Linked DNA regions of Arabidopsis thaliana. The protein of the gene in region 1 interacts with the protein of each later gene in a pairwise test. Each region holds a gene or a part of one and is shown on either strand. Other genes may lie near its edges.

What was found.
Region 2: the proteins of LUH (region 1) and SLK1 interact in a two-hybrid assay, tested with the Arabidopsis thaliana proteins (one study listed by BioGRID).
Region 3: the proteins of LUH (region 1) and AT1G05805 interact in binary tests that used the Arabidopsis thaliana proteins (3 or more experiments, as listed by UniProt).
Region 4: the proteins of LUH (region 1) and HTB2 interact in a two-hybrid assay, tested with the Arabidopsis thaliana proteins (one study listed by BioGRID).

What each region holds. Positions count from the first base shown.
Region 1 is NC_003071.7:13,864,771-13,872,663, reverse strand, and holds LUH (LEUNIG-like protein), read right to left. Parts: upstream 5,893-7,893; 5' UTR 5,738-5,892; exon of another isoform or gene 5,625-5,737; 5' UTR 5,536-5,624; intron 5,453-5,535; 5' UTR 5,430-5,452; coding exon 5,398-5,429; intron 5,324-5,397; coding exon 5,226-5,323; intron 5,139-5,225; coding exon 5,029-5,138; intron 4,948-5,028; coding exon 4,667-4,947; intron 4,572-4,666; coding exon 4,493-4,571; intron 4,390-4,492; coding exon 4,221-4,389; intron 4,033-4,220; coding exon 3,983-4,032; intron 3,898-3,982; coding exon 3,619-3,897; intron 3,148-3,618; coding exon 3,073-3,147; intron 2,954-3,072; coding exon 2,726-2,953; intron 2,548-2,725; coding exon 2,403-2,547; intron 2,322-2,402; coding exon 2,212-2,321; intron 2,071-2,211; coding exon 1,921-2,070; intron 1,839-1,920; coding exon 1,686-1,838; intron 1,610-1,685; coding exon 1,490-1,609; intron 1,289-1,489; coding exon 1,091-1,288; intron 964-1,090; coding exon 820-963; 3' UTR 507-819; and 1 more. UniProt on the Arabidopsis thaliana protein: Transcription repressor subunit of the SEU-SLK1 and SEU-SLK2 transcriptional corepressor of abiotic stress (e.g. salt and osmotic stress) response genes, by means of an epigenetic process involving histone modification (e.g.
Region 2 is NC_003075.7:13,031,614-13,038,393, reverse strand, and holds SLK1 (SEUSS-like 1), read left to right. Parts: upstream 1-1,922; 5' UTR 1,923-2,283; exon of another isoform or gene 2,284-2,490; 5' UTR 2,491-2,590; coding exon 2,591-3,205; intron 3,206-3,281; coding exon 3,282-3,413; intron 3,414-3,578; coding exon 3,579-3,627; intron 3,628-3,787; coding exon 3,788-4,002; intron 4,003-4,103; coding exon 4,104-4,172; intron 4,173-4,433; coding exon 4,434-4,534; intron 4,535-4,626; coding exon 4,627-4,720; intron 4,721-4,802; coding exon 4,803-4,872; intron 4,873-5,042; coding exon 5,043-5,944; 3' UTR 5,945-6,237; downstream 6,238-6,780. UniProt on the Arabidopsis thaliana protein: Probable transcription regulator that functions in the development of the carpel margin meristem similarly to SEUSS (SEU).
Region 3 is NC_003070.9:1,742,830-1,748,255, reverse strand, and holds AT1G05805 (basic helix-loop-helix (bHLH) DNA-binding superfamily protein), read right to left. Parts: upstream 3,813-5,426; 5' UTR 3,414-3,812; coding exon 2,939-3,413; intron 2,047-2,938; coding exon 1,754-2,046; intron 1,496-1,753; coding exon 1,367-1,495; intron 1,221-1,366; coding exon 1,155-1,220; intron 1,064-1,154; coding exon 995-1,063; intron 886-994; coding exon 829-885; 3' UTR 522-828; downstream 1-521.
Region 4 is NC_003076.8:7,651,359-7,654,500, forward strand, and holds HTB2 (histone B2), read right to left. Parts: upstream 1,357-3,142; 5' UTR 1,210-1,356; coding exon 772-1,209; 3' UTR 510-771; downstream 1-509. Other genes in the region: AT5G22875 (uncharacterized protein), read left to right, coding at 1-31, 119-245; AT5G22890 (C2H2 and C2HC zinc fingers superfamily protein), read right to left, coding at 2,183-3,142. UniProt on the Arabidopsis thaliana protein: Core component of nucleosome. Nucleosomes wrap and compact DNA into chromatin, limiting DNA accessibility to the cellular machineries which require DNA as a template.

The DNA.
Region 1 (7,893 bases):
AACTGTTACAAAAAATAAGTTCATGTTTAAGAAAAAAGTACATTTATTTTAGACCAAAAAAAAAAAAGTACATTTATTTTAGTTTTTCCAAGTTAGACGTGTTTGTAAATTGTAAACAAACACAAACGTAACCGTGCTTTTTACTTCTCCTTATGTTTCACATTTCCGTTTTCTATATATAATATCGAGTTTTTCTTTTTTTTTGAGTTGAAAGTTAAATTTATTCAAACCCAAAAAAACTATTTTTACAATAAATGTTACAGTGATGCTGAAACAAATAATTTTGAAAGAGAGGCAGAGTCATTCAAGAAAGATGCGGTTATATTAGAAGTTCAATAAGTAACCCAGAACAAAGACAATTTAAGCCTAAGCAGATAATAAACTCATCCTTAATCCTAAGTTTTAACGTACGAGTACTTTCAATGTGCATGCTTAGAGTTTTGTATTCATCTTAAACCAACTTAATGTATGCAGTGTCATTATAAGATATTCGTAAAGAGACCTTAAAAACAAGCGTTTGGCTGATTATAAGAAATTATTATTCAACAATGTAGTTGGTCTAGAGAAATTACTTACATCTCTCTTTCACTCTAAACACTAGAGATCAAAACAACGAAGTAAAGAAGTAGGATCATTAGACAAAGATTGGAAATATCACAAGTCTCTTTGCTTTTGACATAAACAAACCCAATTTAAAAAAAAAACCAACTTATTAATGTAACATTAAAAAAAAAAAAAAAATTAGACCCAAAAAAAGTCCTGAGCTCTCTGCTATTTCTTCTTTTTTCCTTTTCTTTTCAGACGAACATAGAAATATTTCTACTTCCAAATCTTTACGGATTTGTCATGACTTGCAGACGCAACCACTCCCGTCGAAGGCGACTGAGCCAAGGCAGAGATCACACACTCGTGGCCTGCTACCGTCATACATTTGTTCTCCATTGTGTTCCACAGCTCTATAGCCTGTCACAGATTCGTTTACCAAAGTTAAAACAACTGAGAGACACATTCACCTCATCACACATTTGAACATAAGACTAGATATTGTTTGACACATTATTTGTTTGAGAAATGGGGATATAGGTTATACCTGATAGCCACCGATGACCAAGAGATCGGGATAGCTAGGGTGAAAAACAACAGAGTGGAACTTGTTTCCACTGTTGCTAAGCTCGTGGATGCAATCTCCTGAACTCAGTGACCATAATTTTACAGCGTCTTCACTAACAGACGCCACCAACTCTCCGTTTGGGCTCCAACAAACAGAATGTACATTTGAGGAATGTCCCTGCCAGATCAAAAGTAAATAAAGCCATGAGTAACGATCAACACTTACGACATCTAAACATATGCCCCAATGCATCTAACAAGAAAAATGCACTGGACTTTGAAGATTCAAAGTATTAAAAGTAAAAAACAAAGCTTTTAGTCTTTTATGTGGATTGACCCGGGGAATTCAAAAATATCAATATATCATCTTCAGCTCTACCTTAAAAATGTTGACCCGTTTGTTATTATTTTCAATATCAAAAATTGACACAGTATTTTCTGACGCTGCAGCTAAAAACTGTCCTGTTCTTGGCTGGAAACGTACTTGCGTGCTAGCCCCCTGTGCTTGGAAAATTCAACGATTAGCAAACAGAGTTCACATCCCAGAGAAACCATACAAAAGGTCAGGGGCTTGCCTTTACAGCACGAACGCAAGAGGCGTTTATGTCCCAAAAGCGAATATCATTGTTGCTATCACAGGAGCATAAAAGCTCGGTTTTCTTAGGATGAAAATCAATGGACATAACAGGTGCAGCATGACCAGAAATTGTTCGTAGGAAGTAACCAGGCTGCACAAATTGGTAGTAGTTAGTCACAGCAGAACACGAAAAATTGCAACAAATAAAAGAGAAACAAATTAAATTAGTATACATCAGAAGCATCCCAGATTTTGATTGTTTTGTCGAATGATGACGTTGCCAGTTGAGTTGAATTCGGTCTGAAGCGAACATCTGTGATGATATGAGCATGTTCTTCCGGAGTGCTCTCAACTTGTAGTGTTTCCATGTTCCATATAAATACCTACTGACAAAAATAAATTTGCATCCACATTATCTGTTTTTAAACAAACAAAATGTTACCTACCTATAAATGATCTATAGCTGTTTTAGGGCCATGACAAGTTTATAAGCAAACCGTATCTCAGAAATTAAGAAGTTGCACCTTCTTATCATGTCCAGCGCTAGCCAACAACTTCCCATCATATGAGAAGCTACAGCAAATGACCTTACTGGCACTTTTTCTTATACAACTAACCTCATTGAAACTGAAAGCTGAAACGAGAAAAAGGACCGTGTTAGTATATATTTATATCGTCTACTTGTATCATACTTATCCTTGGGGTGTTAGAATACGCTTTGAGGTTTCGGTATGCACAGAAGAGTTCCGCTTTAGGGTGCCAAACAAGCTTCCTCCGTCTCCATCATCTTGGGACAAAAATGATTCTACATTATCTTCTAGAGCTCCCACATCTCCAAACTGGTCCATGTCATCCTGCAGCTATTAATTCTTGTCATAAGAAAGCTGAAAGAAACACGGCCCCATGGGATATAAAAAAAATATTCAAGCTGCTAAGAAAGCACTTGTTTCACACAACACAACTGCATGCTGTATCCAGATGTTATTGGAGGAAAACTAGATTGTCGTTATCATTCTTCTGAGAAATTAAGAAACATACCAGTTGATTTGCTGATGATGCAAGACCACCGATCCCATCAGAACCATACATCATTGGCCCTTTTGGCATGCTATTCACATGGTGCATGTTACCAGCTATAGCAACTCCATCAACAGGGGTATGCGTTGACGGAGTCGATGGCTGTGAGTTGGATGGGCCAACAGTGTTTCCTGTCCCTGTGCTGTTAGCAGGACCAGAAGAGGAAGGCCCTTTTCTTTTGCGGTTGTTCTATCAGATACACGAAAAGGAAGTTGTGGCTCAATCATCTCAGACACTAAAGAATATATTCAGTTGGTTAAAACCACATGCTTGATAAGACTTGAGGGATTGGATCCACATAAAAGTACCTGTTGTGATTGCTGGGATAGTAAGTGATCTTGTTGCTGAGAAGAAGATTGCTGTACTGGCGGCATGCTGATATGCTATAGACCAACAAGCAACGGAAAGAGAGAAAATCAGAAGAAAAAAATGTGATTGATAAAATTTTAGCAGTAAAGTCCCCATGTTTGGTAGTAATCAGCTACTAATTGCGGATAAGTTTTCTCTATTATTGGGTTCATGTGGTTAACAAGAAAAAACAAAATTCTGATACCTATGTAGATCTACATTAGGATAACACAAACACATTACCTTACACATTTTCCAAATGGAAAGTATAGCAGTCAGACGATAACCCAAAAGAGTACAATTTTAAAGCATAGACGAGCAATTATCAGAAAAAATGCATAGAAGGACAGACGTAATGATCCAATTACACCACTTAACGGAACACAGAAAAAATGAGATGCTTCATTTTTTCTCTGCTACCCGAAAAAGATGATATAATGCAGCTCAACAGATTCCACTGCATCCAACAGGGATATGCATTTATTGGTAATTTGAGAAAGTCTTACCTTTGACGAACTTGACTGCATGGGGGACCCTATAGATCCATCATTTGCATTTTGTTGGCCATCTTTCGGATTAAGGTTTCCTCTAGGTAATCCTGTAAATCTTCGAGGGTCCATGTCACCACCATACATGGGTGAATTAGTCATATTTCCTTGCGCTTGAACCTGAGCCAACATCTGATGTTGTTGCTGCTGCGGCGAGAGCTGAAATTGACTTTGATTTTGTAGAAAAGATTTCTGAACCTGAGGGCCTCCTAAACCTGGTCGCATCTGCTCGATGCCCTGTAACATTTGTCAAGAAACTTAGCAAAATACTGGGCTTGGAATGACAAACAAATAAATTCTTAGAAGAACCACAGAGACTTACAGTTAATGGCCATCCCTTTAAAGGAAGACCACTCACTCCAGGGTTTAATCCTTCACAAGGGACAAACACAACACCATAAGAATTTATACAAATTGTAAGCAAAAGATTCTCGTGATGCCATTAGCATATCACCCTATGTAATTCATCATGATTTTGCACATAACAGGGAAGTAATATTTAAATTTTGGAGTCCATAGTCAACTAATTGCCATAGAAGGCATACTACCACGTATTTTACCACCATTTTCTTTTCGGTGAGCGATTACTCTACAATGCAATACATTGATATATTTACCTGCACTCCCCATCCCAGGCTTTGATTGCAGAATTCCCTGGCCATAAACTGTAGAAGGATCCACTGGCAGTTGTCTTGGAGATGTACCCAAATTAACTTCAGTTTTGATTTCCTGCACGTACAAGAGATTCAGATGTACACCAAAATATCTGATTGGAGACTTGTCTGTTAGAAAATTTGAACAGTATAAAGTAAGGTGCTCGAGTAGTAGTTACAGTGGGCTGCTGAGTTCGTGATTGAATTTGCTGCAGCGCTGCCGAAACACCTCCTTGATGGTTTCCTTGGACAATCTGACTGTTTAGGGACAGAAAAAAAAAGAAAGGACAACAAGGGGTCAGAGGTATGAGGACTAGAAAAACGACAGCAAAAAAGAAGCTGAGCCAATTTACCCATGATGGTTTGTTGCTGATTTAAGAAGGGCCATCCTTGCATCAAGATGAGGTTGGGATGTCTCAGAATTCATAGGATTAGGCTGCTTCATGCGTTCCTCGTACATTTTAGCAGCCAAAGCACTAGCATTAGACTGCCCAATCATCCCTTCAGAACCAATAGCATTCATTGGACCGCCAAGAGAAGGATGATTAGGGTCCCTACGCTGCATTTGAGCTTGGCGCATCATCTGCAGTTGCTGTATTTGCATTTGCTGCTCCTTCGCTTTACCTTGTTGTGCCTAAAATTTCAAAACCACTGGTCAGTTACGTAATTCAAAACTAACAAAACATATTCCCAGATGTTAGTAGAAGACATTCACCTCTATATAAGCTGCAGCAGCCTCTGAATGCTTCTCATTCGTCCTTGCAATGAAAATGTCCCAAAACACAGACCACCACTCAAAAAGAAACCCTCCAGGTGCATCAATTGCTAATCATTCACACAACAAAAAACAATTACATATCAAAACTTAAAATTAAGAAAGAACAAAGTGGAACAAAGAAAGTGTAATATTACCAACTGGATCAGGAGAAACCTTCCCTTCAGTCATAAACGACTTAGCAGTATTATGAAGTTTCTTCTTCACCAAATAATCATATATGTAAACATCAAGCCTACAAAAACACAAAGATATCAAAGTAAGGAATTGAAAAAAAATAAGCTTTTATTGAATACAAAATTAACTTACATCTTGTCAGCTTCCCAATTACTCTGAGCCATAGCTTCAGCCCAAGATCGAGCTGCTATAAAAGGAATTCAAATCTTCAATCCAAAGAAATGATATGAACTCAGAATAATTCGATTGTTTTAATAAACAGACACTAACCTGAATAAAAGCCCAAACAAATAAATATCAAGTAGATCAGAACCCTAATTCGATCTTCAGATATCAGTAAATTTAAAGATCAAGCATTGCTGCTACACATACAGAGAAAATATAAAGAAATCGACAAGGTTAAATTGCTTATACGCGAACATGACTTTTGGAATTCGTTGAATTGATATAGAAAGTAATCGAATTCACATACCTGACGGATCACAATTGAAAAGGAAAAAAAAGAATCTAGGGTTCTTGAGAGATTACAGTGAATTGTAATCAGCTGTAAGTTAAGAGTAAATCGATCATGAAACAGCTGGAAGAGAGAGATAGATCAGATTGATGAGTTTGGAGAGATCATCGGATGTTTGGTTTGATGCTTAGCTTTAGGATTCGATGAAAAAGTTTATTCATGGGCTTCGATATTTGGACCTAGTTATGGGCTTACTTTTGGGCCTGTGATTGACTTTTAATCTAAAGTCAACTCGAAGGTAGGCCGAAATTTCTCTTGAATCGTTAGAGCAGCCAATTCATGGTTTCTAAACAGAGTGAAAAAATTTATTATAAAAAAAAGTGTAGGTTTTTTTATTAGTAAAGAAATTATTTTCAAAGTACGCAATGCTATGTCAAGATAAATGGTTCATACTTCATGTAGCTACACTCAATAATACATTGGAAAAAATGTCAAAAAAATTGCCAACTTTGAAAAATGGGATGAAAAATCACCAACTCCTGAAATGTCGTTTTAATCACATACTTTTGATTGAGTTCTTTAGAAAGATAACAGAGCAAAGTTTTGTTGATTACGAATCTTTGCTTTATTATCTTTCTGGAAAAGTCAACCAAAAGTATATGATTTAAATGACATTTCAGGAGTTGGCGATTTTTTTGTCCCATTTTTAAAAGTTGGCGATTTTTTTAACATTTTTCCCATAATACATTCATTATTCTACCGTATTTAATCTTCTAGTTATAGCTTACGAATGGTTCAAAATGAAAACTTGCGTCAAATACTAGTTCTTTCTTTTTGGGCAAACTCGTGAAATATGTTTGTATTTTGAGGGTGAGATTTGACCTTATAAACTGATCACTGCATATGTTTTATGAAACTAATTCAAATTCTAAATAGAAAATAAGAACTAATTAAAATCCTTTAACTAGAGGTCTGTAACCAAAAGATTGCATGCATATTCTCAATAGAACCAATCTAATTTTTTTACAAAAAAAAAATGCATAGGATATTCATTTGGCACTTAATTTGAAGTTTTAGTACTTTATGATGTGAAATGAACAATCCACACTTGTAGTGTTATGAAGTATTAAACGTATTTCTTAAATTTCTTACTAACAAGTTAGCCCTAGATTAACTAGTTAAATATTCTTGTTAAGCCTCGTTTTTTTTTCAAATCACTAGTTGACTTTAAAATTTAAGTCCCAACCATTATTCTAACAACAAACAGTCCAAATTAAATAAAAGATTACATTCACAGCTCAAACCAGTCAACCTCAAATTTTTAATAATCTAAATCTATGTGGGTGATGCATGTATAATGTATAAGCCTATCTGTTTTTCTTTATTTGTTAGTTTGGAAAATGAAAGGTTTAATATGTGTTTGGTTTGAGCCATTAATGACATAATAAATGAGATCACTTTTTTTTCACTAAATGAGATCACATTTAGGGCTTGAATAATGCAAAAGAGCCCTCATATTATTAATGGCTTTGTAGTAGACATGTCCTTCAACTATAAAAGGAAAAATAAAACAGCCACGATTATAAACTTTTGTTTTTTTGATAACGACACAATTTATTCATTTATGGTACGTCTTTTATGAAAATACACTAAAAGAGAAACACACTGTTCTTTTTGCTATAAATCCATGGAAGGTTGATTTATGAGGAATCATATACATATGGTGAACTGATGATTGCATTCTACGAATATGATCAGTCTGGTTTTTAGAACATGAACCAATTATTATTATTTGACAAAGTACATGAACCAATTGTAGTATATATTTTCATCAATTTCAGGTTTTTTCACCATCGGCGCCCACTAGAATCGTTTGCTCATTTTCTTAATCGGAAATAAGATATACATTTCATTTCATGTGCATATATATATACATCGATATTATTTATTTATTGAATTCATCAAATGTACATTGATTTCATTTTTATTGTTATGTTGGATGAGATCAACTGGGCAGTTGGCAGACATAAATAAATTGTCCTATGACAGGTGAACCTCATTTAATTTAGTTTACTCAACCAATTTATTTTTTTCGCCTTCTTACAAGTTAATACGTCCGGTTTAATCAATTCCGGTTTCCCACTTTTCCTCACGGTTACGCCTTAACCAAGCAT
Region 2 (6,780 bases), on another chromosome or scaffold:
ACCAATGGCGAAAAGCAAAAACCCTAGAGCGGCGCTCGTATGAATGTTGAATGGGATAAGGTATATATGAGATTCTCGACGGAAAGATGTATGGGCTTCGATAAAGAATATATGAGATTCTCGACGGAAAGATGTATGGGCTTCGGCCCATAACTCTTTGATATTAGTATAGAACCATAACAAAAGAAAAAAAAAAAACCTTAAACAAGTAAACACTAAACCCAATTGATTCTTTACTAAATTTAGTAATCAATGGTTATTGTGAAATGAAATTTAACTTTTCTTTCATATGAAAAAAAAAATTGAAACCATCCATGGATGGCCTAGTTTTATTTAGATAACTAAATATCTATGTTTTGAAATAGTAATCTATTACATGACACAAGAACGAAGATTAACTAAATCGAGAAAGAAAAAAAAGTGTAGATTTGGTAGACGCTGAATATATAAAAAAACTAAAGTGATAAAACAAATTGTCTTTTTAAAAAAGTATGGAATTTTCAAATTTCCCATTCTTTCGGTATATGATGAGAACCTTCACATGGATTTTATTTTTAACAACAAAAATCAATGTTGAAAAGTGTATGTACCTATGAAACAAAATCAGGGTCTTAACTAGTTTTTTGTTTTGGTTTTGGTTTTAATCTTTTCTAGTTGCTTTGCCTTATTTATAAGCGCAGATGAGGAAGAGAAAGGCGAAGGCACATCAGCTGCATGGGACGTTGCTGAAGCTGTGGCGCTCTCATTGTGTGATATCTTCAATCTCTGTTAATAGCTTTGTAATGGTGGTAACAATCCAAAAATACCCAATTACAATCTTATAAGTACCAATCATCATCCATCCTATGGTTTTTCTTTTTTAAACAAAATCCGATATAAAATTAATAAAAATCTATTGTATTAACACTAAAGGTCTATTTACGAAAATTTATAGTTACAATGATATGAAATGATAGAAAAAATGAAAGATTATAAAATTGTATTGACCGAAAAAAGAAGTTTAATATATATATATATATATAGGGATACTCATTAGAAAATCTATATGCTTAGTGAAAAATGACTCCTTCCCATAATATTAAAAACAGATAAACGAAATTGTTAACTAAATTTATTCAACAATAATAAACTTTTAACAATGACAGGTCACACTTTAAATGGAAATATGCATTGATAGACTTTCTCGGTTGAAGTTGTAACTCTAGATTTATTTTTGTAGAATTTAAAGATGTATTTTGTTCCTTTTGTTGTGAGCTATGAAATTAATACCTTATAATTGTAGGTTTTAGGAAGCGGTTGATGTATAGCATGTGCAGAGTAAGCTCGAAATGGCTGAGACGAAAAAAAGTGTCGCCACAATGATTTACTTTTTACTACTATACTTTTGATCATTGGGACCTAATGGATGAATGTTGTGTGTTGTGGACGAGTTTATGACACATAACAATATTGTAGACAAATTGTCTAATTTGAGTAGAGATACTAAAATTTATCTCCATATAATTGTATACTGTATATGTATAACAAATAATTCAATTCATTGGCCTAAGATGTTTTATTGTATCTTTGTAGAATTTTACACTTTAGAGAAAAATCATTGCAATAACTCGATGAAAAAAAATGTTTATCTTATCCTAGTTACAACTAACTATCTATCTATCTCTTTGTGGTAGGAGATTTGCATCTGATCGAACGATTCATATGGTGCCACGTAACTATGGTCCCACTTCTATTACGAGATCTACTAAGACATCAGCACGTGTCGGTGTCGTTTGATCCACGAGGTCGGTGACGCTTAGAGCTAGTTGACCGGTACAGTCGGTTATTACCGGTTATACTATATGTATGTTTTTTGGTCAAAGATTTGGAGCTATTTTATAGTTAATAAATCAAGAGTTTTTTTTTTCCACAACTAGGTCTTAATTTGTGATTGTTTTTTTCTTCCATTTTTCCAAAATTCTCTTATCAATTTCAGGTTAGTATTTTTGTTACTGTCCCTAGCTTTTGACTATTGTACTACTGTATACCCTTTTTTTTTGGCTTGAGAAATTAGATTTTGTTATGTTTGCGTAAAATATTTGTGAACTCAAAAATAAAATCTCTTTTTTTTTCATTGCCGATATTTTTTCTTCCATGAATGCTGCTGTAAAGTATTAATTTCCCTCTCTACTGAGTTTCTTCCAAATTTCTGATTTTTGGGATTTGTGCAACTCCCAAGTCGATTTCAGTTTCTGGGTTTTGATTTGAGTTCGCCGATTGGATTTGAAGTTTTAGTCTTTGTTGGTAAGTTCTATCCTTTTTGAGATGTTGAATTTGCTCTTCTGATAATTAGGGCTTCTGATTATTAGCCTACCAATCTTTGATTTGGTTTTCATTTCCTTCAGCTAAATATTTGTAATTCTTGGATCCTGAATGATTAACCATCTTAGTTTGATTGGTGAAAGTATACCATAGCTGCTTAGGATCCGTTTGGCTTTGTTATTTGCTCAGATTCTGAAAGGAAGGGTTTAAAGTTTCAAGCTTTTCATTCCGCTGAATCAGTCCTTGTATTTGGACGGCTTGATCTGTTATCTGCTCTCGTGGGTGGGGCATGAACAGAACGGTGGTCTCGGGAGCTGTTGAATCGAGTTTCTCATTGACTGATGCTGTTGGCACGGAAGCTCTAAATATGCAGAGGAGCAGTGGCATCAATAATAATATGCGTATCCCAACATCACCGATGTCTTTCTCCTCGAATAGCGTTAACATACCGGGTTCATTGGTTCTTGATGGCTCTGCTGCTTCAATGCAACACTTACCTCAGCAGCAGCAGCAGCAACTACTACAACAGCAAACAGGACAAGGTTCTGTTCCAATGAGGGAGAACAATTATTCCCATGTGGATAAGAAACCCAGATTAGAAGTGAAGCAAGAAGATATGTTGCAGCAGCAGATTTTACAGCAGTTGATCCAGCGTCAGGACCCCACGGGGAGGAATCCGCAGATGCAAGCTTTGCTTCAGCAGCAGAGACTGAGGCAACATCAGCAGATGCTTCAATCCATGTCACCCTCTCAGAGACTCCAACTTCAGCAACAGCAGCAGCTGAGACAGCAGTTACAGCAACAAGGAACCCAACAGATTCCTCCTAATGTACGTCCTTATGAAGTTGGCGTCTGTGCTCGGAAATTGATGATGTACTTGTATCATCTGCAGCAACGGCCTGCTGTAAGCTAATCCTAACCTATGGACTTCCAGTTATTTCATCACATCTATGCACCCATCGCTGATACCTCTTTTCTAGGAAAATTGCATTACCTATTGGAGGAAATTTGTGGCAGAATACTTTTCACCTCGTGCAAAGCAGAGATTGTGCTTGTCACAGTACGAAAGTGCTGGGCACCATGCGCTTGGCATGTTCCCACAGGCAGCTCCGGTCAGTTTATTTTTAGCTCTGGGTGTTTTGATTTTTTATGATATCAGTGTTCTGCATCCCTGTATCTTTAGCCATACACACGGTTTCTCCACCTGTACTATTTATGAATTTCACTTCATTGATTTCTCAATTGATAAGTCCATCATCTTCTCATTGTGTTTGCAGGATATGTGGCAGTGTGATCTTTGCGGCACCAAGTCTGGAAAGGGATTTGGTAAGTTAGTTGCAAATTTCATTCTTGTGTGTACTTATATATCTGTGCCTTCACTTGAGCACAATGAAGCAACTTACACATGCTAATTGGTCTCTTTTTATTGTTTATAACTATTAAGTCAAAATAGTAGCTAACTGTCACTTCTCGTGTTAATCCGCAGAGGCAACGTTTGATGTGCTTGCCAGACTAATTGAAATCAAATTTGCAAGTGGTATTATTGATGAGCTGTTATATCTGGATCACCCTCGAGAAAACAGATTTCCCAATGGACTGATGATGTTAGAATATAGAAAAGCAGTTCAGGAAACTGTACACGAGCAGTTTCGTGTTGTCCGTGAGGGCCATCTTCGCATCATATTTTCTCAAGATTTGAAGGTATCTAGAACAATTCTCTGGTTCCAAATTGTGTAAAGCGATGAAAAAATCAGGCACCAGTATGCTAATGCTTAGTTAATCTTGACTTTGCTTCTATCTAGATACTTTCTTGGGAGTTTTGCGCTCGGCGTCATGAAGAGCTTCTTCTTCGCAGACTTATTGCTCCACAGGTATTCTAATGGCACGACCCTTGCGTTTATTAATTGGAACTTAAGACTTTACATAAAATGTTTGTGGTCAACTGTATGACTTTGTTTCCTTAAACCCTTGTTATGAAATTGAGGATAGCTAATACCCGGTTTCTGTGTAGCTTATCTTCTGGTTTCCTATGAATAGAGCACAAAGTCTGTTATTTTACTTCAGAACAGATGTTTACAGATGCTGCAACGGTGCTAAGAAGTGTACTAAAATCTTATTTATTGGTCATGCAGGTGAACCAATTGCTTCAGGTTGCACAGAAATGCCAGAGCACGATCTCAGAGAGTGGGTCAGAGGGGGTTTCTCAGCAGGATTTACAGTCAAATAGTAACATGTAAGTTAATGCACATTATTCTTTTATTGTCGATACTCTGGCATTTGTTTCTAGTGCTTTTTATCATTGCTGGGTGCCATTTTGTGTATCAGGGTCTTGGGAGCAGGACGGCAACTGGCAAAGTTCATGGAACTACAGTCGCTGAATGATCTTGGCTATCCAAAAAGATATATCAGGACTCTGCAGGTATTCCTTTGCTCCTTTCCTTACTGTTACTGTTGTATATGAAGTCGTAAGAAGTCCTAATATTGAGGCATGCGAGTGACAGATATCTGAAGTTGTCAAGAGCATGAAGGATCTGATGAATTTCACTGGCGAGCAAAAAATCGGTCCTATTGGTAAGTATACAATTTCCATCCACAATATTCTTCTTGAATGAGATCCAAAACCAGGTTTCCCCTCTGGTGCACCTTTTACTTGAAATATGTACTGGTCGTTGTAACTCTCCTGGTGAAAATGTTCTGACTGAATCTGAATGTTATGATACCTGCTTATGTCATTTATGTAGAGGGGTTGAAACGGCTTTTGGAACAGACGGTGACAGTGAAGCTACAGAAACAGAAAATGCAAGAGATGGAGCAGTTTGGGAATAATGGAGCTATAAATGGGCCAGTTCAAGCTCAAATGGTGTTAACTTCAGGAACGATGAATGGCTCAACGGGCAATAACACCAATAATCACCATCAAATTGTTGGTCGTGGAGCTATGAGTGGGCCAGCTGAAGGTCAAATGGTGATATCTTCAGGAACGGTGAGCGGCGCAACTGCCAACAACAACTCCAATAATCACAATCAAATTGTTGGTCGTGGAGCTATGAATGGCTCTGCTCAAGCCGCAGCAGCTCTGACCAACTACCAAAGCATGCTTATGAGGCAAAATGCTATGAATAACCCAAACTCAAATACGGGTAAACAAGAGGGGTTCTCGAGTCAGAACCCAACCCCAAACTCAAACCAGAGTCCATCTTCTTCATCCCAGCAGAGGCATAACTTAGTTACAGGTGGATTTCCCAACTCTCCTCAAATGCAACAGCAGCAGCGCACCATGAATGGCCCTACCAACATACTTCCGCAGAATCATCCTCATCAGTTACAATCACCACATTCACATGGTAACACTCCGGAGCAGCAGATGCTTCATCAGCTGTTGCAGGAGATGTCTGAAAATGGAGGGAGTGTGCAACAGCAACAAGCCTTTTCGGGTCAAAGTGGTAGCAACAGTAACGCAGAGAGAAACACAACTGCCTCTACTTCCAACATCTCAGGAGGAGGCCGAGCTCCAAGTCGAAACAACAGTTTTAAAGCAGCCTCGAACAACAACCTTCATTTTTCAGAAGATATATCGATCACAGACCATGATTTCTCAGAAGATGGCTTCTTCAACAACAATGATATCTATGGTGGCTTGTAATATTCCCACAGAACGCAGGCATTGTTACTTTGACTTAACACAGTGAAAGAGAATTTAGGGCTTATTTTTCTCATTTAGGTTGGTCTTTGTATAGAAACCAAAGAGATATGAGGCCGGCCAATGAAGGAATTTGTGATTTGTTGTAACTTATCTATAGGAACTTTTAAGCATCTTCATTTCCCCTTTTAGAGATAGTAAGATTAAATCTTAGATAACTTCTGCAGACACTTTCAAGTAATCTTATTTAGTTTTATGCTTTTACTTTGATAACAGTTTGTTTATATAAAGGCTTCTTGAGTCACTCCTTTTACGGTTTGCACATAGTAATAATACTATGGTCTCGATTTAGCTTTGAAACCAAATGATTTAGCAGATACTGGATTAAAAGACTTGTACCAAAAAATTTGCGAATAACCAAAGTAAAACTCTTTGGTTTTGTTGATTTGACGTTATGGATATCAAAATATAAGGAATCTCTTTTGAACACACAATGGTAAGTAGATATGCAAATATAGAACTCAGATTAAGATGTTTACTGGCATATATCAGAGGGTTCATTTTTTTGTTAAAGATAAGAAAACAAAACATACAAGTAAGATGCTTAAGGAAAAATGTAAACAAATATTACTATTTGAAATCCGTTAAAGGATGAGCAACTTAAGATGCTTTTCTATTAACAGATCGTTATCAAAGTAAAAGCAAAAACAAAGAATATGATTACTTCATAGTGTGTTAGCAGAAATCATAATCTAAGATTTCACCCCACTATCACTAAAAGGGCAGAGAAACAAAAAACAAAAACAAAAATCTAGTGTCTATGGGTCGGTAGACCGTAG
Region 3 (5,426 bases), on another chromosome or scaffold:
CTCCAAATTATCAGTTTTAATTTACGACTTTTCCCTGATTTGTGTTTTTGGTTAGTTATTTTAAAATCCACCACGTTGGTGGACTTCTTGGTAACGTAGGAGGGAGTTATATTTTTTTAACTTACAAAACCAAAGTGTATGTATAACTAAAGAAATTTCATCTCTAATAAAGAATAAATCTTTCTCTGTAACGTGCATACACGCTAGTTTTGTTAATAATAGGAAAGTTAATGCTACTAATAGTATTCCGGTTCATACATTTTATGCCAATTTTCATATCAACCTATATCTATTTGCATGTTTCTAACTACTACTAAATATATCATAATTCATTATATGATCAACGAGATTCACTTTGGTCTTTGGTACGTGAATTCTGCTTATTAATGTTTTCATTGGTTCAAGTAACTTTGGTATTTGGTCCATTTCTTCAATTTTAAAAATAAGAAAAATTAGCGTACCTTTAATTTCAATATTCAATTCAGGAACTATTTATGAAGAAGTATAAAGAAAAGAGAGATCAAATTAGAAAGTCATATATATAATGGATGCTAGCTTGCTTTGCTTATGATCATAACTCGAATTAGTTTCAGAATTCATAGCATAATCCTTACAAAATAGGCGACACTCAAAACATAAACTTGAAACAAAAACATAATGGACAATTGTCACTGTTCTATCTTATAATGATAACGAATGAGGAGCTTAATTATAAGAGGATTAGACATTTAATATAATCTATTTTATTTACATCTTCTCTAATTCTCTCATATGATAAAATCGGAACAATGCAAATAAAATTAGGATGACCCTACCTTTGGGTTTGAGCTAGCTTGGTTTCTCACTGCACCCACACGTGCAATTCTCTTGATCTTTTTTCAAATTCTGCGTTTGTATATGAAAATGTGTTTATGTATCAATATGGATCATGAACTAGAGAGAACTCTGGAAATGGATTCAGCTGACCTAAACAGAAAAAGTAAGATAAGGGAACCTGAAGTTGATGCTGAAGGCCTTTGATGTGTTGTACAGCTAAATCCAGCATGTCTGAATAGCTTGTTTGCTAAGAAAATCAGCAACAAGTGTGTGAGGTAATGAACACTTTTTCAAAATGATGTTACCATATATACTATATATATTTGATATAAAGTAACCTTATCCATGTTGGGGACAAGATCTTGTAGCTTCTTTAGCTTCCCACTTATTCTCGTTCTCCTCTCCTATAATATAAACATATTGTATAGGTTAAGATAGGAGGATGGCAAAAAGAATAGGGTCTACATGATTAGGGACGATCAAATTTGTTGCTAAATTTAGTGAATTAATTATCCATCGCTAAATAAATTAAAAAGTGTTTATAACTGACCCGCTCAGCGATGCTTCTAGGATGGGTGGCGCAGCCGCGTTTGGCCCGGATTTTGCAGGGTACAGAATCTTCTGGAAGCTGCATGAAGTTATCCATGTAGTTCATTGAAGTGTCTGAAGGAAGACTATACTGCAAAACCAGTGATAAAAATATTCGGTAAGAATTGGCCACCAACAAAAATGTATGGCCACTAAAGAGTTTTGCTGCATTTACCTTTACTAGTTAATTTTTTTTTTTATGTCTATCCTAAAACAAATATTTTACATTTTTTTGTCCTTTTCTAGAAATTTTGAAATTTCATATAATTTGACTAAAGTAGCATGTTTATAGTAATAACACATGAAGAAAAAAAAAAAGGAATCCCACATGGAAACAAATAAATTGTACCTGCGAAAAGAGACCAGAGTCCATGTCCTTGGATCGTTTACTGGGCCTAGTCACGGTAAACCCTATCGAACCGGAACCGTCATCCCAAGAATCAGTAGTGGCTGCACCAAAGCTAGCCGCAGAAAACGAATGGCCTGAACCGTCGTGGACTGGGGTCTCATTGACCTCGTTGATCCGAGCCAGAGAGTCGTGATTCGTGAAGCTTAGCTGAGACTTCAATCTGGAATGTCCTCGTCCCCCATTAGACCCTCCTTGCGGACTATAATCACTGGTTGGTTGGTTCAACGAGAAATCTGATTTACAAAGTAAACTATATTATAATGACATTACGTGAAAATTATTTTTAAAAATAATTCACATTCACATCCAAAATATTAGAAACCATATAATGTAAGTAAATAAAGAGGGATTTTTGGATAATATGGATAGTTGAATTCCGGTTCAGGCCGGTGACCGGTTAGGTGTGGGAAGTCACATCCAGGCTTGGTGGAAGATATTATGATTAGATAACAACGAAGCAAAGCACGAATCATCAGGACCAAGGAAAAAATAATATAAAAGTGGACAGATCAGATCCACCAACTAGATCTACATCGCTTTCTATTTGAATAATCTTCATCACAACCAATGATATTTCGCCATCTCAGCAGAGAAACTATTGGTCATCAACGAAAAAATCCATCCTCTAAATAAATAAATGCAACTTGAGATATAGGAATCCTCGAAGATTTAAATAATATCCCAAATTAAGGGTAACCGAGCCACATTTTTGCTGTATTTTCAAGCACGTGGTTAGGGATCAAATGGTATTTTCGTCATTCCGAAAATACGAGGATCACGTCTTGCACAAGTACCAACCAAGCTAATTTAGCAACGACCCTAAATATCAAAGCTCACAATGTCAACTTATTTTATATACATAGTCGTTAATTAACTTGTAAGAAACTAGATACTTCACAGTGAGAAATACCGAAAATACCCTCGTGGTTAGATTTTCATTTCACCAAAAAACGGATCTTTAGTTGAGCAATGAATGATTGAATGACTGAAAACTATATAGCTCATATTCTACATTACGATTTTTGGCAAATTCTAAGGAAAAATGGTCTGAAAATGAGTAAACTTGTCTGTCTAAATATATATATCTCATCACAGTTACTATTCTTGAGTAAAAAAAGGACTAACTGTTTTTATCTGAGGCGAGGTAGGTGAAGAAATCGGCGGGAGAGCTACGTTGTCTAGCGAGAGAGTAAGATCCTGAGCTGTTTCCTCCTCCGATGTCGTTGCTCTTGTGTTGTTGCGAGATCTCGTTGAATCCACCGTAGGATCTGTCGAGGAAGATATCTTTATTACTATTATTATTATTGTTATTGCCTAGCTGTTTCTGTCCGTCGGATGAGTTGTTGACTCCACAAGTCGTCGAATCGGATCTCAGCGAGGATGAGTCAGCAGCTCCGGTGAAAAAGTTACCGATGAAGTTATCCGACGACGGTTGATAGCCGGTGAAGTCACGAGCGTTTGATGAGCCTCCTCCGATGACTTCGTCAACCACAGAGTTTAGAAACGATCCCGGAGCTGAGCCGTAACGGATCAGTCCTCCGCCGCCGGGAAGCGATGATCTCTGCGATGATGATGACGTGGAGGATGATGATTGGTACATGACTTCTTCTATCGCCAAATGGAGAGAGAGAAATCTGAAAAGTTTGGTTTCTAAAAGAAAAATAAAAGATGAGAGAGAGATGATGCTTTTGTTTATGGGGTAACAAAAAGTCTTCACTTTTCAGCGATTGGCTATTCGTTGGATGTCACATGTGTCTCACGTGATCTTCCGAAAGATATGGTATTAAATTTAAACCGAAATAAGCCAATCAAAAACCTTTATTAATACTTATTTATTTTGTAACGAGTCAGCTTAACCTTTGGGCTTTGGGGCCGCGAATATGTGGGCTGGGCTTGATAAAAAGATAAGCAACATTTGCGATGTCTTTGATTAAGTTTAAATTTCCCAAGATGTTGAGGTTTTCAGTGGAATGCAATTATTTTTCTCTAGTGTATATAACTCACATTGTTAATTTAAAGATTTCAAGATCACAGAAATGTTAAAGGTAAAAATTAAAATGATTCGATAAAATTCGACTTAATTGCTTAATAGTAAATTGAACAAACATAAATGCTTATATCAAATGCATGGTTCATCAATACTTTTTTGACGCAAACCTTTTTCCGATTGTAATTCAAAATAGTTCTGTTAATTTTTACCTAAACAATTAATATTGTTGTTATTATTATAAATAGAGCCCACAAATATGGACGTTTCCTCTTTCACCAGTTATTTTCAAATTTTCACAATAGTATATGAACTTCCACAAATGGAAAGAAGTAAAATTAAACGAGAACTCATCTTGTCTGAATTATATATCCATAAATTGGTGTGTAAAATGGAGTCGTAATTAAGATGCGTACGGATAATTAGCTACGACTGTGACATGCAAAATAAAATAAACGTTTTTCTGAAGAGTGAAACACATCTGATGCGCATGCAGGAATGATACACACATTGGTCTCCAAACGTACGTGTTTTTCTAGCCCCACCCTTATTGACCCCATGTGATTCGTAAGAAATCGAAGCTGAAATTCAAATTAGTTACTGTTCTAATTGTTATATATGTCTTTATTTTTATTGTCGAATGATGTGATCTGTAACCAAACTTCCAAATTCAAGTTGAATTATTTTCTTTCTTTCTTTTTCAACAAAACCTCTCGTGAACAGAGAATCCACATCGTGAACAAAACCTTTTTTCGGTTTTATGTTATATATAGAATAAGCTAGTGCATATATTTATAGATGAAAGCTTCCAAATGAGAAATTAAAAAGTTAAAAAAAGACCCTCGCATAACACGAGAAGGGACACATTTACAAATAAAAATGGGAAATATAGATAAAGATTGCATGTATTAATTAATATCTCAGTGAGTTTATTAACATTAAACCAAAAAAAAAAAAATATCTCAGTGAAAAAATAAATATAATTTAATATCTCCGTGAGTAATATAAAGACTCCGAAAGAAAAAGAGAGTATATGGAACTATTGCTGACGTTGTCTTTGACAAATAACATAGACAAATTGTATATATATTCGATGATTAAATTTGAGCATATAAATAACTTTATATATGAACTTTGATCATTTAGAACAAAAAATCAAAATATAAATTATACACTGTAACGATGTTGAAGATTTGACAAATGATTCTTATTGTTTTTTTTTTTTTTTTTTGCTAAATATGATTTCTTATTGTTCATTTTTAATCTTACAGGTTATAATGACGTTGAAGTTTTGACAAATGGCTTTGTCTTTGGCCATTATTTATATTTATAATCTAATACGTTGGTACCTCACGTCACTTCTACTATAATAATATACAATAACCAATTAACCATAACAAATTAATAATAGATGTCTGTTTTTATAACTAATAAAACAAAAAAAAATACATCTATCGATTAGGACTAATGGACTATAATATAAAAAGATACACAACAATGCTAATATGTACACGCCTGATATTGGATGATGTCCCTTTTTTTCATTCACAATTTTGAGTTCTTGTACTTCATCAACAGTTGAGAGCTTTAACCTAAAGAAAAGTATTATATTGTGAACTCATAGTA
Region 4 (3,142 bases), on another chromosome or scaffold:
CTGCAGGCTTAGCTTTCCCCTTTTACATGGCGTAAGCACCCTATTCTATCTCTCAAATGTTATTTTCTCATCTTGTGGTATGACATTTGTTGTTTACTCTGTCTCATTTGGGTTGCAGATCTTCGAAACAACCAGTTATCGATCCAACAAAACCATTACCTCCTCAAGCAACTTTTAGAGGACCTTACATAAACACAGGCTCACGCGATGTTGGACCTGATCATCGAACTTACCCAAAGAAATGATCCAATCAAGTCAAAACAATTACGCAGGTGTTTTCATTGTGAGCTTTGTATTCATAAGATAATATCGTTTTGTAGTTTGTTCTCCAATCCATTTAAGTCGTTGTCCTTCATGTAACACCAGTCCAACTTAACCATTGAATGTAACTGAAGAAACAGATTTATTCCTGCATAAGAACTTGATTTTTGATTGTCTAAAAAGTTTTGAGACTCAAAATCACATAACTTGGACAATACTTCTCAAATCAAAGCTTAGATATATACGCAATGAGAATCACTGTTTCAATTTTTTTTATCTCAGTTAAAGTGGAGCTCTTTAGATTCTAATCAAAATTAACAGATTTGAGAAATTGAGCAATGAAATTGCAATCGAACATTGGAAAATTAAGTAGATTTCATAGCCGTGCCATAAATTAAAACCCTAATTCCCATATTACATAACCCTCAAAGATACCCAAAAGCATAAACCCTATTTCACATTCCAACTACTACTACTACTTCTCCTCCATTACAAAACCACATTCCAAATCTAAGAACTCGTAAACTTCGTAACCGCCTTAGTCCCTTCAGAAACAGCATGTTTCGCCAACTCTCCAGGCAACACAAGTCTCACCGCAGTCTGAATCTCCCTAGAAGTAATCGTCGGCTTCTTGTTGTACCTCGCAAGCTTCGAAGACTCACCAGCAAGTTTCTCAAAGATATCATTGATGAAACTGTTCATGATTCCCATGGCTTTGCTGGAGATTCCGATATCTGGATGAACTTGCTTCAACACCTTGAAGATGTAGATCTTGTATGTCTCAACGTTCTTCTTTGATCTCTTCTTCTTCTTGTCTCCGGCGCCGGCTGGTTCCTTCGGGAGTTTCTTTCCGGCTTTTGGTTTCTTCTCTGCCGCTGCTGCTGGTTCGGCTGCCGGAGTTTTCTCTGCCGGTTTCTTCTCCGCTGGTTTCTTATCTGCCTTCGCCATTTTCAAACTTTTCTAGGGAGTGAGTTTTTTTTGCTGTGATGGTTTTGATTTGATACTGTTATCTTCGAGAATTGTGTGTTTGTTTATATAAGAGAATAGGAAGAGATCTGATTAGTTAAGATACTGAAACGCGGATGCGTGACGTGGAGATATGAGTGCTGTTCGATGAAGGGTTTTGGTGAATGGATGGTTCAGATCTATTTTACTTTAATGCGCGAGTGATTTTAAATTTCTTTTTCGAAATATTGAAAAATTCGAATTTTCTGTTGCGCTTTTTGTTATCCGCCATAAGTTCATGAAGCGGCAAAGAGAGAAAAAGTTTTTGGCGTGGATAGCTGACGTGGTTACTTTTGATCCGTCTACCAATGAACGGCTATGATTTTACCGTATCTACAAAGTTGGTAACAACTTTTTCCTATCTAACATTTTTATGGAAATGAAGAACTAATGCATAATTATAAGTTTTCAACTCTTTCAAAATTCTTCAAAAATAACCAACTTTTTATAGATACAAATTTTGAATTTCTCTAAAATACAAACATTTAGTTCAGCTTAATAAGTTGGACTCATCTTAATAAGTTAATATGTAGTTGTATTTTAACAGAGTTAACGATGTTTCTTATATTTTCTTAAAATTCTGCATGATATATCAATAGATAGTTGTTGATTAATCTGAGAAGTGAGAGACGTATTAAACATAAATTTTGATTCTCACTGATTCCACATATTTCTGAGATTAGTGAAAATCTATGCATGATACCCATCAGAACCAAAATCATTTGTAACATTAACGTTAATGCACAAGTCACTATGATACAAATCTGTATATTATCTTATCTTTGTGACATTAATTTAGAGAATATAGAAACTCGTGAAAAGAAAAAGAACAAAAAAAAGAGAGGGAGTGAATGCACGTGTCATTTCTTGAGATATCGTCTATGAAATCTCTATAGACCTCAAACTTCCTATGTTCTTACTTTAGGGTGATTGTCGGCGGCTTGGACGACCCATGTGCCGGTACGTGGCCCAAAAACAAAGAAACGTGGCTCATCAGCTTGTCTTTCCTAGAAAATTTAGTCCCACAAGAGCAAACCCACTTTATATCCCCACAATGCTTCTCGTGTGTCCTAAGATCAGACAGAACCGAGAAATGCTTCACACTACATCTCCTGCACATATACATTTTGGGACAATGACTCCTCTTGTAATGATTCTTGGCGCAAATCACAGATTTCAACGGTTGAAACTTCTCGTGCCTCTGGTTCCATCTACACCCGTGTTGAGGACAGGAGTAGTAATGTTTCTTTAACGAGTATCCTCCTTTCTTGTCTTGGCTCGTTGGGCTGATCAAGGCCTCACGTGTCTTGTACTCATCCCCGTGCGCTCTCATGTGCATCCTTAGATTAGCGTCTCTCTTAAACCCTTTCCCACAAATCTGGCAGTAATGCGTGTATTTCGCTAGTAGGTCCGCTACGTCTAGCTCCAGTATATCGTAGCTCCCGGAACTTGGTTTAGAACGATGTTTATCTTTTTTAGGGTTTATGGTTTCGGTGTTGTACCAATCAAGATTCTGGTCGGGAAACGAGATCTGCCCTCTTTCTTGGACACCAAAAAGGTTGGTCGACTCTTGCACAAAATCATGACCCGGGTCGGTTTCTTGTCGGGAAAACTCCAAAACCATTGCATCTACGGTTTGATCATTATCGATATCGTTGTTGTTGTTGTTAGATCCGATTTGGAGTTGTTGGCAAGTATATAACATGGATGAAGCAGCCGTGATGATCTCTTGAACCAAACTTCCGATGTTAGCCACGGCCAAAGACGTTGACCCCGAGGATTGGTTAATGTTATTAGTAGATACCATGTAGAAGCTGACCAGAGATTGGATCTGATGGACTTTTTCATGTAAGGTAGATAGATTGTATAGAAGAGA